2 linked regions of the Caenorhabditis elegans genome follow. Changing the gene in region 1 together with any one later gene gives a genetic interaction. Each region holds a gene or a part of one and is shown in the gene's direction. Other genes may lie near its edges.

Region 1 (3,973 bases):
CCCCATTGTTTGCCCCCGTTTCTGACGAAGAGCCCGTGCACATACATAGGCTCGCACTCTCATTCCGCACATTTTATCTCGTTGAATTCAATTCAATTAGGTCACTTGCTCTAGTTTGCTCTTTCAATCTCTACTCTTTTAACCCGGGTGCTATGATACTTTAAATCAAACTTCCATCACCTTCCATATAGATTAACTCTTCAGATTCCACACTAACATCCTTAAAAATTACAAAAATATTTAAATGCTCCAGAATGACATCCTGGACAATTTTTGAATATTTCATCCTCAGCGTCTGCCATCTCCGCTTAAATAGGAAAAGGCTCACACAATTTGCAAATATATATTTATAAAGGCTCGGTTTATTTGAGATGGCACATTTTTCATTAAGTATTCGTACCAACGGGCACAATTGTGCCCGATTTGTGTCTAGAAAAACTAGGAAAATCGTGGGAAAATGACAGTTTGTTTGCCAGAAAACTCTTCAGTCTTCTATATAATCGTAGTTGTGGTAGTTCCAAAACTTGTGTTTTCATATATTTTAACTCGTATTTTAACTGCTGCAAGATTTCTAAATTAAATTATATTAAACCGAGAAATTTCGAAGCTCAGAAACTATGATTACTTGAGGCAGATATGTCTCAATTGTTCCAATGTTTTTAACTAGACTCAGGCCAACACAAAGACCAAGTGCAACATATCAAAATTACACATTTGATGTCCAATGCACATGTTTCAAATTTGCTCAGAAACCCTTCACCTTCATCTCCTGCTCCACCACCCACCTCTCTTGTGTCGGCTCTCTCCTATGCTATTATATGTATGTGCTCTGAATCCCTTGCAGAATTCATGTAATACTATGTTTTCCCGTTTCGTCTACTTGCTTCCCTTTTCTTTCGGTGTTGATTTACCTAATTAAATGAGAACCTACGTGCATTTCCTGCTCCGACTCAGAGAGAGAGAGAAATTATTCAATATAGCAATGTAGCAGAGATTTTTATTCTATTTTCAGTTGTTTTCAAGTATTTCCAGCTATCAATCATCACTTTTCTGAAGCAGGTGAATACTGAAAAACAATCCATTCTGCAATCTCGTTATACCTTTTTTGATTCGAACAGCTCCTTCACTCGTGATATTATGAGGACGCAGAAACATGATACGCTCCGCCCCCAAACCATGGGTCTCGTTAGGTATTTGACGGAAAAACCTTCAATCGAAACGTTTTAATAGTGTTTTTCGTTTTTTTATTATGTTGTTTTTAAAGATTTTGATGCTGAAATTCTGACATGAATTTTTAGTCAAATGAAACAACATTAATTTCTTAAACAAGAAATCTTTAAAATCAACTTAAAACATAACAAAAATTTTTTAATATGAAACTAATTGAAAAACGTCTGAATTAATGAGTTCTGCCGCCAACTTCCTACCGAGACCCATGGCCCGGAGGCGGCGCGCTTTGCACTTCAATTTGAATAGGTATTTTTTCTGCGTCCCCATAATATACCCTAACCTCAATTCATATGGCTGCTTTTCTTGACCGGAAAATGACGTTTTCTGGTGAATGTGCTCATTTCCTTTTGCTACTTATTTTTCTACTATGAGATCATGATCATATTGCTTTCCCCGTTTCATATTTTCTATATTTATAACGTTTCGTAATTTATAATTTTCTATATTTCAGTGGAAAATATGGGGATAGGAGCAGATGAGAAGAAGCCGTTGCTAGTACAACTCGACGGGCAATATTATGACATTGCTGATTTTGCGCCTAAACATCCGGGAGGTGCCAAGGTAACTTTTTTTCAAGTTTTAGGATATTTTACTAATCTCAAACTTTTTATAGGTTCTGAATCGTTTGGCTGGAGAAGAAATTGGAGAATTTATCAGAGGAGAAAAAAGGATAATGGGTGTACGTCATGAGCACTCGGAAGCCGCTTATAATATGCTCGAGAGATATAATGTGAATGCAATTCAAAAAGTTCGTTCCTTCCATCAAATCTAATTATTAATATTTCTAAAATTCTAGGGTGATCCATTGATTGAGTCTAAATCCGGAATGCTTTTCAAAGTTGGATCTCTTGGCTCTGAATATTGGCATTGGATTCATCAACCATATGATGGAACTTTAAGGTATTGATGATCTCGACTTTTCAATGCAAATTTTCACTTTTTTTCAGACTTTTCGATTCGGATGTGTTGGAAAGCATGACAAGAACAGCTTGGTGGGTGGTCCCTGCTGTTTGGATGCCGATCGTCATTACTTTTTCTATCCTCTCAGTGCTCTCATTTTCAACATCCACCGATGTTTATAACTCGATTCTCCTGTGGTCTGCCTGGTTCGTCATTGGAGTTTTGACATGGACTCTCACTGAATACAGTCTTCATCGATGGGTTTTCCATTGGAAGCCGTCTCCAGATTCGCCGAATCAGATTCTTCTTCATTTCTTGGCTCATGGACTTCACCATAAAACACCGATGGACGGAGACCGCCTTGTGTTCCCTCCGGTTCCAGCTACTTTGATTGTTGGAATTTTCTATTTAATCTACTCCAATACCTTCCAATGGTCAGTATTAAACCTTTCCTGGTTCCCATATTCAGTTAATCGTTTTAGGCCAGTGTTTTGCGCGTTTGGCGCTGGAAAGTTATTTGGATATGTAACCTACGATATGGTACACTATTATTTACATCACGGAAGTCCTCGTCCACGCAGCAATTTACATTTTAGAAAAGTATATCATCATAATCACCACTTCAAAAACTTTGACGTCGGTAAGTTACATTTAACGGGATTTTGTTTAAAAATCAATTTTTAATTTGTTATTTTTAAGTCAAGAACATTAAAAACTGTTTTTTAATTGAGATTTTCTATAATCTGCAAATTGTCGTGAAATATAATGTTCTCTGACGGAAAATTACACAGATTTGCGATGGAGCGCGTTTGCACTTTCATTTTCGCAATCGAAATTTTTCTATCATTTTCCCTATTTCAGGCCTATTTTCATTTTTCAGGCTTCGGAATTTCGACTTCTCTTTGGGATTATGTTTTCCACACACTCGGAATGGGCCCATTATAATAATACATAGATGTTTTTTCGGAAAATTTGTTGTTTATTGAGTGAACTCTGCCTCACGTTTTTTATCTCTAAGTCTCTTGTCCCGATTCACTTTTCTCACGATCCACTATACCCGTTGTACATATATATTTATCGATTTACCTTTTCTTTTCTCGTACGCCAGATTAGTTCAACTTGTTTTCACATTTTATCTATATAGATCAGCTACTCAGCACGTGCCTATTATCCTCACTTCTTACCGGTTTCCATCAAACATTTTGTGATATTCCTTCTTGTTTTGTTTTCTTTCTGTTATGCGTGAAATTTGGAATAATTTTTAAAAATATCTAATGAAATCACCCCTTCATTCTTTCTCGCTAATTCTTTTTTTCGTTGCAATGCGCCGTATTTATTTCATATTTCTCTATAGTTTCAGAAGTTTTAGAAATCATTGATAGTTTCAGAACTCAGTCTACTTTCAACGGACAATGTTCTTGAGATACTTCTTGGACGAGAACCAACAAAGAGTGTACACTTTGAAGAGAACTGCTCCATCTGGAGAGCAAACTCTTACCGCTCATCCAGCTCGCTTTTCGCCGGAAGACAAGAACTCCAAATATCGCATCATCATCAAGAAGCGCTTCGGACTCTTGCCAACCCAGAAGGCAAAGACCGTTTGCTAAAATGCTGGTTTGGGAGTGGCGCCGCATGTTGCGGCAAAAAATCCGCTCTTTCACCCCCAATAAACCTATCAATTATCAACAGGTAATTTACAAATCTCGCATTTTTCCAAACGATATTTTATAATTTCAGGTGTCTCGTCGTCGTATCATCGTCTCTTTTGTTCTTTTCTTCGTTGGATGGAAAGCTTTTGGTTATACTCTCAACGATATGTTCCTTTGGACTGTCGATGAGCAAA
Region 2 (5,120 bases), on another chromosome or scaffold:
AAATGTTGTGCAGTCAAGTCGCAATCGGAGAACCGAACGCTGCACTGTTTATTCAGTGCTCAATAAATGTTCGCAGTGCAGTGGTTCTCGTTTTTCGTTTCGTTTCTCTCACTCTTCCTATCTTTTTTACTTAGTTTCCCTATCCGCGACAGTCTGATCCTTTGGTTTTTATTGCCCGTTTAGAACTTATTTTAATTAATTATCCTCTTTATTTTCAATGTTTTGTTTTGTTTGAACTATTAATGACCATTACTCTTTCTAAAGTGCACCCTATTGCGTATTTTAAAAATTTTTTCTTGCAACATACCCACCCTAATGCTCGTTTCGCCTTCCCACATTTTTTCCACCATTTCTGCGTCTCATTTTCTTGCGTGGGCATCCGCGGTCCCTCTTTGCCCGGCGCCTCTTGGATTTTGCTTTTTCTTTTTTTCCCTGGATGTTGCGTCTAGTTTTATCTGAAATGACCTTTAGGCACATTGCTAATCGTATTTCATTTTTTGGTTCCTCAAATTATTTTTTTTGAAAATAATTTTATTTGTCTGATAAGTGATCTTAAATGTAACTGATATTTTTTTAAAGTTGGATTCAAAATGAAAACATTTTCTAAAAATGGTTTTTTCAATTTAATTTTATTTAGTATTTCAGTACTTTCCTTTTTCCATTAATCAGTTGAATAGGAGATGTAATTTTTATTAAGTTTAATTTTACATTTTGTATTAAACTTATTCAAAAATAATTAATTTTTTTCCCTAAGTTAGTCAAAAATATTTTTTAAAACTTTTTTAATACTTTTGAGATAAATTTTTAGATTTTTTATTTCACTTTCGTGATTGTTCCATTTTGCAACATTATTCTGCATCAAAATACATTTTGAAAACATTGAAAGTTCTTCAAATGCCGCAACTCGATTTTATTTTAATTTCATCAATTTTCTTGGCCGAATATCAAATTTCTATCTGAAAATTAACTCAATCTTTTTGTTTTTGACTCAGAATTGAGTGCACCACAACTTATTTTTCAATTTCTTACATTCTCTAAAACCTTTTTTTGTTCGTTCCGTGCTGTTTTATTTCAATATTTCACCAGAAATGCATATTCTTCTCAGTAGGTGCAGTTTCATGTGTTGAGTGAATGAGACCACGACATTTTTTACAATTGTTCCGCTTTTTCCCTCCCCATATGCCATCTCAAATCCAAATTTCAAATGCCTTCCTCTCCAGCTTCTCATCTTTCCAATTTAGCAATTTTTCACGTCAAAATGAAACGAATCAGATTTTTGGTGCTAAGCATTAGGATTTGATGAAACAAACACACTATAATCAGAAGTGACAGATTTTCAATTAAATTTTTAGAGATAAATACATAATTTATCAATTTATGCGTGCCAGCAAAAAGGCAGAAATAGTATGAACAGCAGAGTCTACTTGAGACTAAATCTTAGTTCTACTCATCAACCAAGCGGATGAAAACATGATAATGAAAATGTACTTTTATTTCAGTTTAAATTGTAGATATCCACGCACCAGTTAACCCAGTTATCTGGTTTGTTTGTTTTTTTTTTGCTGGTCGTCAAGAACAACTTTCGATGTAGATAACTTTACCGAGCTTCATTCATCAAAAAACATTTTTTTCCCAATTTTTCGTTACAAGTTATAACTGTATATAATATCTAATCAAAAAGAAAAACTTATTTTATAGAGAAAGTTTTGACGAGATCTGTTTTGCCTAATCGAGATGTTTCAATTTTACAAAACTTTGCTCGCAATCAGTAGATATGTTTAAAATTAGCAGTAGCAAAATTTTTTTTTTTCGACTGTTCCACGCAAAAAAAAAAATCACAGCAGAAAAATGACAAAGTATTCACAAATAACGACCTCCCGTCCCCGTTCTTGTGTCTCTTCCGATCTTTTCTTTTGTGGCTGTTGATCACCAGTGTGTACTTTGGAAACTTATTCCTTGCTATTCCATGTTGCTCAAAATCTTGCTTTACTTGCTTTACAAAAACATAATGAAAATTTTTCAGCGCACATTTCGGCGCAACGGGCGCCAATTAAATGGGCACAAATGGAGGAGTCATTGCGGAACAGTCAATGGAAATCGAAACAAATGAAAACCCAGATAAGGTAGAGGAGCCCGTCGTGAGAAGGAAACGAGTAACCCGCAGGGTAAGTGATTTCTAAAATCTCACGGCTTTAAAAAATTGTATACCGAGAAGAGCCAGTACAAACTGTGTAAAGCAATCAAAAATGTGAAAATTAGTATAAATCGGCAAAAAGGTGAACAAATTGGATATTTACAAGTTATTTATAACAAACTTAAAGTTGAAACCGTATTTATAATTTTTTTCTCATCAGCTAAACAGAAGACCAAAGTATCAATAAAAGCTTGTGGGAATAGATGCAGAATAGTCTTGTAGAAATGACCTTTTTTGCAAAATATATTGCATCATTTTCACAAGAATGTGTTAACATTTATGTTTAAACCTCAGTTATTTTGTAGAAGTTTCGAACAAATGGTATTGAAATTTTCTTAGAGTTGATACTCATCAATTTTATTTAGTCTTAACTTACAAAGCCACTTCAAGCCTATCTACTGGTGTCAGTAAAAAAACACAAAATATGTAGTAACGGCATATCATGGTAGAACAATTTTCAAAATGTTCTCAATTTCATATTTGGTTTGAAAACTGAAAAATTCGACCATTCTGGTACAATCGGCATTATGAAACAATGTCCTCTCTGCAGCTATTTCCCCTTTTCCACTCAAAAATGTGTCGGAAATAAAATCTTACTTTCTAAAGTATTCGTAGAGCTTAAACGTTTAACTGTTATAAGTAACACATAAATATGTCTGCTTCTTTCTCAAAGAACAGCACTGATTTTAGAACGTTGACATGTCATCTTCGGCGGTCTGTGTCTAAATGTTCGATTTGTAGCGATAAGCGTTAGAGTGGCCAATATTTTCTGAGAACAAAAAGGAGTCATATTCTTATCATCTCTTTTCGTGCGTTTTCTATCTTTTGTGTAACCGTACCCTCCCACCACTTGTTAGCAGCAACATTTATTCTCTCTGAATTTCTACATCAAAAGTGCAATTTGGGGGAGTTGAAAACTGTTCGACCCTCCCAGCGCCGAAATCGACGGCTATCTTAACGGGGCGCCGAGATGAAGTAGGCAAAACAGATCATTGCAACAACACATACAATCGCCATCTATACTCTCACAGTGCCATGTATAGTAACTCTTTCCACAATTTCCACAAACTTCCATTCTATCCAACTCCATATTACTTTTCTGCTGTTTCTTACGAAACTCCTATTCAAACGTCAAAAACTCCGGGTTCAGCAAGTGTAATTGATGTTGAAAAGATTGACGACGATGATAAATCGTCAAGCCCAGCAAGTGTAATTAAAAATATCATAAATAATATTTAAATAATTTTTTTTATTTCAGCGCCACAGGCGGATACACAGCAAGAATAACTGCTTGACACCTCCAAACAGCGATGACGACGTTAGTTTGTTATTATGTTTTTTCAATCAGGTTAGATTATTATGACTTGACTCAACCATTGCACCAAGATGAAACTTTTTGTTGTTTTTGTGGTTGGCGGTAGTATTCTATAACTTTAAATTGCTAAACGATTTTCTTTTCTTCAATCAAGAATCTTATTGGATTTGAATTATTGGAGCTACATATATTTTCAGTTCATTGAATTTAATGCTCTATATTTTTGTGTGTATTCAGAAAACATGGTGTTAACAAATGAATATAATAACACTCTAAAGGACATTTAGTTATCAAACTTTAATTCAGTTTTAGAAATTTGTAATAAGCTTCTATTATAAGTTCAAAAAGTTCCATTCTGATCCGATCCTTCTTCTTATTGATTGTTTCTCATCAATTAGTCTTCATCTCTTTTTCGAAGTTCGGCGTATGTTTTGTGCAGCGTTAAACTCACGCCATTTTGCTGACGGGGAATTGTTTAGAAGTGAGTGGAGAGGAAAGAAGAACTGATGTTCTTGAGTGTGATGTGCTCTCAACATTCGAGAAAATGATGAGAGAAATTTCATGTGTTGAAGATACAAAATGCGCTCAAGATAATGGTGGACTTTTACTTCTACATCTAAACGCTTTTTCAATGAAACCTGTACTGGAAAAATTCGAAAGGAAAAATTCTGGAAAAGTCGTTCAGCTTTTACGATACCTGAAATAAATGAACTCATAGTGAGCTCTAGTTGAAATTATTCGGACCAACTAGGTCTGAAACAAAGAAGCTGTATTCTTGCCAACAACGATCAAAGTTTAAAGTCCAGTGTCATCATCGTCATCTTCAATATCTCAATTTTCATCTTCAAACAATCAACCTATCCACAACCTGTTCGGAACGCCAAACTACGGTAATCAGCGCCGGTGTTTTGATAAAGCGATAAGCATAAGTGCTCACACTTACTTCTTACTTACAATTAAATTCGCTTCCTTTTTGGGCCGTTCCAAGGTCAAACGGTGAAACACACGCACCGTACATATACACAGGACGCACTGAAGTTTTTGCTACTGCTGCCTGTTGTGTCGTCGTTCGGCCCCGATTTTTTTAAGTGTGTGTGTTCCATATTACCGCAAAAACTTGGGACCACGCCTCTCACAACACCTACTTTCTCAATTATTCCGAAAACAACAATGAAGTGCTGATGATACCATTCTACTATATACTTCCGGACGTCTATACTTCATTCCGAACACAAAAATCAAAAAATGACACTCGAAGCAAATGTGGCGGCACTTTCGAAATTCATGTCATTCGACAAAATGCTTGCAGCATTACGGGTGAGTAAACGTGAAGATTATTCAAATTGCCTTGAACAATCCAGAACAAGTAACCGTTTTTGACTCATTATTGTAACACTTTTTCTCAATCTTAAATGTTCAAACGTTCAAGTGTTCTTTTAGTTTGCAATTCCCACAAGTTTGGACATGTAGTTGTAAAATGTCAGTCACGCTTTTTCAAAATTATTCAATTAGTGCTCACGAGAATCAGTGAGCACCACCACATGATCTCCTTACACTCATCTCCTTTATTTTTTGATTATCTTTTTTTTTTTGTTTGTTTTCAGTGTATCA

What was found.
Region 2: of fath-1 (region 1) and daf-12, changing one suppresses a phenotype caused by changing the other (phenotypic suppression), as found in Caenorhabditis elegans (one study listed by BioGRID).

Annotation. Positions count from the first base shown.
Region 1 is NC_003279.8:10,175,500-10,179,472, forward strand, and holds fath-1 (Fatty acid 2-hydroxylase), read left to right. Parts: upstream 1-1,681; 5' UTR 1,682-1,689; coding exon 1,690-1,791; intron 1,792-1,843; coding exon 1,844-1,978; intron 1,979-2,026; coding exon 2,027-2,130; intron 2,131-2,177; coding exon 2,178-2,564; intron 2,565-2,612; coding exon 2,613-2,770; intron 2,771-3,010; coding exon 3,011-3,075; 3' UTR 3,076-3,416; downstream 3,417-3,973. Other genes in the region: nola-3 (Putative H/ACA ribonucleoprotein complex subunit 3), read left to right, coding at 3,543-3,737; C25A1.16 (uncharacterized protein), read left to right, coding at 3,739-3,819, 3,868-3,973.
Region 2 is NC_003284.9:10,642,386-10,647,505, forward strand, and holds the start of daf-12 (Nuclear hormone receptor family member daf-12), read left to right. Parts: upstream 1-2,054; coding exon 2,055-2,165; intron 2,166-3,452; coding exon 3,453-3,512; intron 3,513-5,120. UniProt on the Caenorhabditis elegans protein: Nuclear receptor which binds directly to response elements in target gene promoters. Activity is modulated by binding of steroid hormone ligands that include dafachronic acids.